Cricetulus griseus: one gene and its partner. The protein of the gene in region 2 purifies or fractionates together with the protein of the main gene of each other region. This does not show direct contact. Links are inferred from orthologs where the notes say so. Each region holds a gene or a part of one and is shown on either strand. Other genes may lie near its edges.

What was found.
Region 1: the proteins of Pla2g4a (region 2) and S100a10 purify together in Homo sapiens (affinity purification with western blotting; 3 studies listed by BioGRID). This does not show direct contact. The link is inferred for Cricetulus griseus from reciprocal best matches to the Homo sapiens genes PLA2G4A and S100A10.

What each region holds. Positions count from the first base shown.
Region 1 is NW_023276806.1:62,480,497-62,484,805, reverse strand, and holds the start of S100a10 (protein S100-A10), read left to right. Parts: upstream 1-1,320; 5' UTR 1,321-1,418; coding exon 1,419-1,421; intron 1,422-2,855; exon of another isoform or gene 2,856-2,978; intron 2,979-3,076; coding exon 3,077-3,229; intron 3,230-4,309. UniProt on the Homo sapiens protein: Because S100A10 induces the dimerization of ANXA2/p36, it may function as a regulator of protein phosphorylation in that the ANXA2 monomer is the preferred target (in vitro) of tyrosine-specific kinase.
Region 2 is NC_048598.1:41,524,568-41,528,851, reverse strand, and holds the start of Pla2g4a (cytosolic phospholipase A2), read right to left. Parts: upstream 2,931-4,284; 5' UTR 2,800-2,930; intron 1-2,799. UniProt on the Homo sapiens protein: Has primarily calcium-dependent phospholipase and lysophospholipase activities, with a major role in membrane lipid remodeling and biosynthesis of lipid mediators of the inflammatory response.

The DNA of each region.
Region 1 (4,309 bases), on a different chromosome or scaffold from region 2:
GAGGAATGAAAACAAGAGAAAGAGCAGGAGTGAGAAGCATGGCCGTCAGACCAGACTTGCTTAGCAGGACACACATTTTTTTCCTTTGTGTTTGGAATGTGCTCTCTGTACCCTGCCATGCCATTCATAGGTGAACCCTGTTGAGGCCCCTTTCCCTGCCCTTCCCAGAACTCATCTCCTCTAACTGCTGAACTCTGAGCTGCAAAGCCATCAGCTGTCTAAGGATAGTCTTATCTGTATCTCAGCTACTTTGAGCCATCCATTTAGCAAATGGTATTTAGTCATCTCTCAACTGAAGCAGAGTCATATGTGGTTCTGGACTAAGGCAGCTGTAGGGCCAAGGCAGATTGGGTCTCGAACTGTATCTGATTGTGTATACCAGGTATGGAATGGGGTGTCAGCAACACTGAACAGAGCCCCCTACTTCTCAGACCAAGTCCCAAGGCCCTTGTGACAAAGTATTACCCAACTAGAAGGGGAAGACCCAACCCATCTGGAGTGGAGTTTGTGGGGTGTTAGGTGGAGTGCAGGTGCCAGATTCAGGTTCCTGAAAAGCTTGCACTCTAGTAAATGATTATGGAACTGTCTGTAGTGAGCGTTGTAATAACAGCCCCACCCAAACAGTGGAGGCTAGGCTGGGACCACTTCACCGGAGAAGTACTGAGTGGTTCAGTCATCCAACAGAGCCTCATTATCACGTTTTCCTTTGTCTTCCTTTTTTGATTTGTTATTTTGATTCTTGAGACAGAGTCTATACAGCCTAGACTGGCCTAGAAGGCTATTTTTTCCTGCCTCAGCCCCATTGCACCTCTGAGTGCTAGGTTCATAGTTCTTGGGACTTCCCCTACCTTACCTGGATCCTTGGCCTTACTTTAAAACTTTCTCCAGCACAATTCCTTGTTCTGGAACCAAGGGCATCCCCTGTGAAATTCAACTATTTTCCTTTTCTGGCCAGCCCCTATCTCTTGTGTTCTTATTGAAGTTCTCTTGAACAAGCAGAGAGCCAGTTAGCTGCTCTATTCACCTGTGTGGAACAAAACAGCTAGGGCAGGCAAGCAGGAAGGACAAAAGGGCAGACACGGGCTTCAGGAAGGGACTCTGCCACTTCATAACCAGCTGGGTAAGGAAGGAAGGAGTGGATTGACCTCAGACCTGAGAACCAGTTCTTGGCTAAGGCAACCTGACCTCACCCTCCTGAAGAGGACATTCAAGCGAGGCCAGGACTTCCTTGGCTATCAACTTGCATTTCCAGAGAGTACTAAGATGACTGTTTTTCTATTTGGGGGATCCCTATCCTGGCCATTCCTCTTCCTTCTCTAGCTCTGCAATACACTTTCCTGATGTCTGTGAGGAAAGTACAATGGGTGTCCACGCAGTTCTAACATCTGGGATGTCATCTGGAATCTTCGCCTTCAGACATGGTAGGAGAGCTCTCTGGCTCTGAATGAGGACATAGACATTTTAAACTTCACTGGTGTCTGGCTCCTTTCCTGGATTGTTAAAGGGCTGAGGTGGCACCCCACATCCTTCTTTAGGTGGCTTACTCAGTTCAGTTCAATTCCTGCACTTTCAAATCAATCCAAGCAAGGCAGACTTCCACTAAGCTCTCTGCCACCGCCAAAAACCCATATCTAGGAGTGGGGAGGTGGGGCGGATCTGAGCAGTACAGGACGAGAGGGAAAAAGGAGTGGCTCTTCTGAATTTCATGGCATTAGACACCTTGAATTGTAAACTTGTTGCTATCCAAGTCATGCAGATGAATCATGCCGGATCCTGATTGACAGTGTTCTCAGAAGTGGCATTTTCTGTAGCTGGTTCTTCTACCTTCTTGGAGACGAAGAGGAACAAGTTACAACCTTTAAATCTAACTTTTCAGTGCTAGCCTTCAGCACTACACCTTTGACTCTGTAAAAGATAATACTTAGAAGCCAGGCCTAGTGGTTCAGACCTGCAATACCAGCTACTCACGAGGCAGAAACAGGAGGATCTTGAGTTAAAGCCATCCTAGGCAACTTAGTGAGACTGTCTCAAAATAGAAAGTGAAAAGAGAGCTGGGGGATGTAGTTCAGTGATAGGAGATGGGCACAGGTGAGTGAGGTTCTAGGTTTCAGTGTGTGTCGGGGTGGGTTTCAGAACTTGGGGATCTGTACTGAACAAGCATCTGTCAGCATCAGGAATCAGACCAAAGCACACCCCGAATTCCCATCATTGCTCTTCAGTGGGGGAAGGAGCCAATCTCTCCCTCCTTCTGTACTCAAAACTATATGTGGACACTGAGCTCCATTAGGCATGGGGTCTTGATGAAACATTTGTCCCAGTTCATTATACCAGCATGCGGTGACCTAAAATTCCTTTCCTCTCTTTAAACTCCTCATCAGGAAAGACCCTTACTCTCTCACTGTACCCCCAATTTATGAGGAAAACGCTCTGTATAGTCCTACCAGAAACATATTCAGCACCCAAAGGAGCTTGTGTACCCTCTTACCTATTCCTTCCCTGCTGAACTTGAAAATGAATGTATGAAGCTTACTCAGGCAGAGCAGCTGCACTGACTGCCAGAGAACAAGTTCAGATCGTTAGGAGAGTATACATTTCCAGCAGACATGTCCATCTGTAAGTACATTTCTAATCTCTGAAATTGTATTGGTTCAGGCTCCTGTGGCATGGGTGGCGGGATGAAGTTTCTGTATTAACCAGGCTGGACTCGTGGCTTGTTGGGGTTCAGCCATTTCTAAGAGTCACATTTTCAGTGCCAGGGGAAATATGGAAACATCATCTTTCATCCAGTGCTTTCCAGTAAAGGAGCAGCTCTTGTCTTGCTTTTCTAGAAAGTTAGGCCTTCTTATCTTGATTAGGAACCGAGAAAAGAAGCTGACAGTCAGGCAAATCCCACATTCTGAGGTCCAGCACCTGAAGTGTCTTGCCACCAGCAAAAGACCCCAAATAGGACCTGAGATTGATTGAATTTTATTGGAAAGGTGATTAGACCTATTTTATCCTTTCCGACCACCCTCTACAGACTTCCAGCATGTGGTTTAAAGGTTAAGGCAAACTCTTTCTTTGTGTCCATTAACAGGTTTCAACAGACCTCTTCAAGATGCCGTCTCAGATGGAGCATGCCATGGAAACCATGATGCTTACATTTCACAGATTTGCGGGCGATAAAGACTACTTAACAAAGGAGGACCTCAGAGTGCTCATGGAAAGGGAGTTCCCTGGGTTTTTGGAAGTAAGTGTGGAAAGTCTCAGACCAGACATAAAAATCCAAGGTCCCTTCCCTTGTCCTTCCATTGTCTCCATCCCTGTAGGCTCACCACTTGGAAGTGTTTCATTCATTTACTTAGTAGACAGTGCTAGGATAGCACAGGGGCAGCAAAGTGGAAAAGGCCCCACCCCTGTGCTCTGATTGCAGATGAAAATATCCACACCCACTGGAACAACAAGAGGGAAAAGACTTTTCACAAGGGTGTCATGGATCAAGGTGCCACACCTCAGGTCCCTAACACTAATGACAGTGGTTTCACATTCTTGTCATATGCCACTTGAACAACTTGAATCTCCTTTGTGTGTGGGTGTGAGCTTTGTGTTGACCCTGGAGCCCCATTCATGCAAAGCCAGGGCTCTACTGGGAAACTTCCCTCTACTCAATCTACTCAAATCTTCTTAAAATCCCTATTTATAGAAAGACTTTTCTTCTTTTTCCAGCTCTAACCCATAAAGAGATCTTTTTTGTTTGTTTGTTTGTTTTGTTTTTTGAGACAGGGTTTCTCTGTGGCTTTGGAGGCTGTCCTGGAACTAGCTCTTGTAGACCAGGCTGGTCTCGAACTCACAGAGATCTTCCTGTGTCTGCCTCCCGAGTGCTGGGATTAAAGGTGTGTGCTACCAATGCTCACATAAAGAGATCTTGTTAATTGTTGGCTGAATCAGGGCAAAATGTCACTCCAGATAATTGATTTTTACAATGAAAATGTCAACTTAGGAGCCTAGAAGTATAGTCTAGGTTTTACCTCCCTTTGATCACACTGAACAACCCCTGAAGACTAGGACTCCTCAGATATGCCACTCAAGACAATAGTCAGCTAGGCATGGTTGTCTTTTGACTTTGTGGGTCCTCAAGAGACAGTTGTTGAATTTAATGCTCACCCAAGACAAAGCATAGCTTGATATAATAGCAGACTGTGGTATGATCCCTTCTTTTCCTGGAAAGAAAGGATGGTTCTTGTACTGGGTGTTCAATAATGCATTAGTTTCTGAAAGGTAAAGGTAAAAGGCTGGATCTAGCCTCTTGACATTTACCTGATAAATATCA
Region 2 (4,284 bases):
ATGGGCATGTGTCTCAAAAGCAAAATGGAAAAAGAGTAGTCTGTGGCATGTTAAATATTTTGAGGATCCTCAACATACTGAATTATTTTATTCCTATTTTACAGCTAAAAATAACAATATAAGGCGATTAAGTAAACAGGTGACTTATGAACTCATTACTGGAAAGTTGTGGAATTTTTGTTAAAGTCTAGAAATGAACTTTTAAGACTGAACCATAATGAGGTATACAAAAATTAATGTAATGGTTCTAGATTATATTACATGTGGAAAATTGCAATCAATCTAAATATCCAAGAATTTATTATTGGTCAATTCAACATATCCATAGACCGAACATAGCTCACAGGAAAAAGCCATAGTCTTTAACTGCTAAATGGTATCCGACTCCTAATAGAGACTCATGGTATTTGGGGGGGAAAAAGTGGATGAATATACAGTCACAATTATAAAAAGTGTTTTAATAGAATCGTGCAAATCAAGGGAAAGTGCCACAGAAAATGTCACCAAATTCAAACTCTCGGATTTGTGAGTCTACAGATATATTATAAAGGCAAACGTGTAAAAGCATAAATTAATACAAATACACAGATTCTTTTTCTATGTGCTAATGTATGCTAGGTAATCAATAAATACTAAGAAAGTAAATAAATGCATGAAAGTCATTTAAAAGTAAGTCCTTAGAGGAGAATAAGTGTGTTTTTTTTTATTTTGTTCTTTGCATTAATCTATTATTTAGCAAGATTTTGACAGTGGGTGTGAATTACCTTCGTAACAGGTAATAATATTAAAACTTGTGATCAATCTGGAAAATATAACTCAGAATGTTAGAGTAAAAGTAGAATACACATATATACTTCATGATCCAATAAAAAATGCGCCTGTTTCTCCATTATGTATATTATGGTCAAGTAAAAAGATTAATCAGAAGTTGCAAAAAATGACAGGTATAATTCATGAATGATTATTATTGGGGTTGAGTCTAGAATCTAGGTCACTTGCTTTCTAGACAAGGGGCTGCTCATGGCCCTAAGGTGTTTAGAATTCCTAAACATTAGTGAACAAATGCCAGTGTGGACACTGGAATATTGACAGCTAGGTAATCCTATACTTACAAGTGGAATAGTTTGCTACCTAACTTTGATGAATTATCAGAAAATGCAAAGTTCTAGGAAACAGTCATTCCTTTGGGAAATGTGTGAATTTCTTCCTTTCAGATCTGTGTGCACTGGAAGAGCACACATACATTATCCTAGGAGGATTCCAGAGTTCTCAAAATGTTTTGAAGGAGTCAGTGATCAATGAGAAAGAAAAGGAGTAAAAGAAATATCATTTACAAGCAATGATGGGGTAGGGTGGGGGTGTGGTGGTAAATAGGAGGGGAGGAAAAGGAACCATGCAAGTTCTGTCTTCCTCTTTTTTTTATTCCTGGAACATGTTAATTAATGTGCAAACAATCAGCTTTAGGACCCTGCTTTCTAAGTGACAGCATGAGAAAGACAAGTGTTAAAAACAGGGCATGAACTTTACTAGGGGTTAAGATATTTATTTATTTATTTATTTATTTATTTATTTTTATTTTATTTATTTTTCCTATTTAAAATACATATGAAATGCTATAAAAATAACTTACACTGTTAAAATGAAAGTTTCTCTTCCCATAAAATATGTGTTCCTTAGAGAAAGTTTGTAAAACTGTGAGAAAAGGCAGATTAAATACTTCTCTGTGCATTACACAATTATTGCTTAATTTAAAATTCAACTCTTCCTGAGTTCAATAAAATCAAAACCCCAACTTCATTAGCAAGTTCTCAGCATACCTGGGAAATAATTTCAAACTCTATAGGTTATTTCATTAAATTCCCTGTGAATCTCTTTGGCTGCAATTTCAAATGTACCTAACAAAGGGAAACAAAACAAAATACAGCCCCCCCTTTCCCAAACTAGAATCCCAAATATAACATTAGAATCACCATTCTAAGGGGCATGTCTCTAACACTCTCCAATCCCTTCACTGAAAGCAGTCTACACCATCAGCCAAAAGCCGGGCACTTTTTTAAACCTAGGTTTTGAAGTGATGAAAATATATTTAAGACTGAAATCATCATAAGTTTTCAAGACCTAAACAGATTTGGTCGCTATTATTTCAAAATCCAATGCCTTTTTGCCTTCCTTCTTTTGCATCACAATTCTAAAACAGTAGTCACGCTCAAAATTCAAGCGTGCAACTTGAGAAAGTATTTTCAAGAAAAGTTTTGACCTGTTCTCCTTATCAGGACAGGTAAGTTGCCCAAAGACTAAGGGAACAGCAAGGCTTGGTAGTTCACGGTTAGTTTTTCAGTATTGCCTGTCGCATAACACAGCAACACATTAGATACCCAGGAAGTCACTGATTTAACTCTTTTTTTTAACAATTAAAAATTAAATGAGTCACCAAACTACCTCTTGATCATCTCCACTGCCAAGGAACATGCAACTCAAGTGCAGGAGTCCTCAGCAATCATTGGGTGGCATCACGTGGAACACAAAGACGCGCCAACTCACTTCTCTATAAATACTAAATTTCCCAGCAACCGCTGAAGGAAACAATTTCTCCCTTTATTTCAACCTGCTCTGAGATGCAGGGAAGCGAGTCCTCATCGGTAAGAAGGGGACTGAAGCCTACTCGGTGAATCCTTCTCAGAGGCAGAGGAGTGAAAGCAGTGAGGTTTTATCACGAGTGGCTGCCTTCCACCCCGAGAGCTGCCCACGGATAGCTGGGGAGAGCGCAAGAGGGAGCAAGCAGGGAGAGTAAATGCTTACAGTTCCCAAAGTTAAATGAGAGTCCTCAGGCTTCTCGGTGCCTCTAGTTTTCTGTCAGGCGGGATCCCCTCACAGTTCCGACTTCAAGAAAGTCTTTTCTCCCTGGTAGGCGGAGCTAAGGAGTGGGCTGGTCTCACTGACTCTGGATGTTAAGGTGGAATTCAAGCCAGGGCGAGCTCTTCTAGTGGAGAGCAACATCCTAAATGTACGTGTTTAGTTTTCAGAATCGAGCCTTTAAAGTCATGATAAATGCTTTAAAAACGTGTGACCTAACTGATCCTAGATTTCGTGTGTGTGTGTGTGTGTGTGTGTGTGTGTGTGTGTGTGTGTGTGTGTGTGTGTGTGTGTGTGTGTGTGATACTGCTGCTTGTCCTTAAGCAGTCACTACTTCCTCTTTTTTCCCAAAGACTAAGAGCAGAGTTGAAAAGATAGTGAACTATGTTGAGCATTTTTAAAGTCTTTAGAAAGCTAAGTTCAAAACAAACACCTTCATCTAAAATAGATACATTTTGCAGTTGAACAGTGTTGGGCTACTTTAAAAGTCAAGCCTGCCCAAGCTTTTTTCTCCAAACTCCAAACTTCGGGAAAGACATGTCAAAGAACAGAAAGCATGTGTTCAGACTTAGAAACAATTACAAATGAGCCAGAATCCCAAGTTTGCGATACAATTTGAAGTATTTGATAAGTTGGAAGTGAAGAAAGTACAGGTATTACATCCCTTATAGTACAAGTTTGCTTGTAGCTCACACCTGTAATTCCAGCACTTGGGAGGTAGAAAGAGAGGAATCAGTGACTGCAAGGCCAGCCTAAGGTACATACTGAACCCATATCTCAAAAGCCCTATCTCAGATGACATGAGAATCCACGAAACACCATTATCCTATGTACTCTGGGCAGGAAGCTTGTAGTACTCTGACATATCAGCAATGGTCACCATTGTGCCCCTTCCTCCCAACAACTCCTCTATTCATCTCCTAATTAATATCATCAATGTTTTTATGAAGTACTTTTTTTTCTTTTCTTCTTCTCTTAGTTTGCTTTGTAGCACTGTGATAAAACTTTCTGACCAAAAGCAACTTGTGGGAAAAGGGTTTATTTGGACACATATCCTAGTCACAGTCCATCATGAAGAGAAGTCAGAAACCTGATTTCAAAGCAGAAACCTGGAGCAAGGAACTGAAGCAGAAACCAAGGCCAAATGCATTCTTTTAAATCTCATTTCATAGTTTATTTGTTTTGTTTTATGAGACAGGGGTCTCATGCAGCCTAGGCTAGACTCAAACAGAGCTGTCTAGCAAAAGGTGACTTTGAACTCCCAATTCGCCTGCCTCCATGTCCCTGGGATCATAGGTTCATGCCACCATGCCTAGCAATTCATATCATTACAGTTCTTAAATGTTCCTTTTTCAGTGACAACTAAAGCAAACATGACAATAAAAGGCAGATTTGAATCCTTCAGTCTATCACAAAATGCAAGTTTATGTG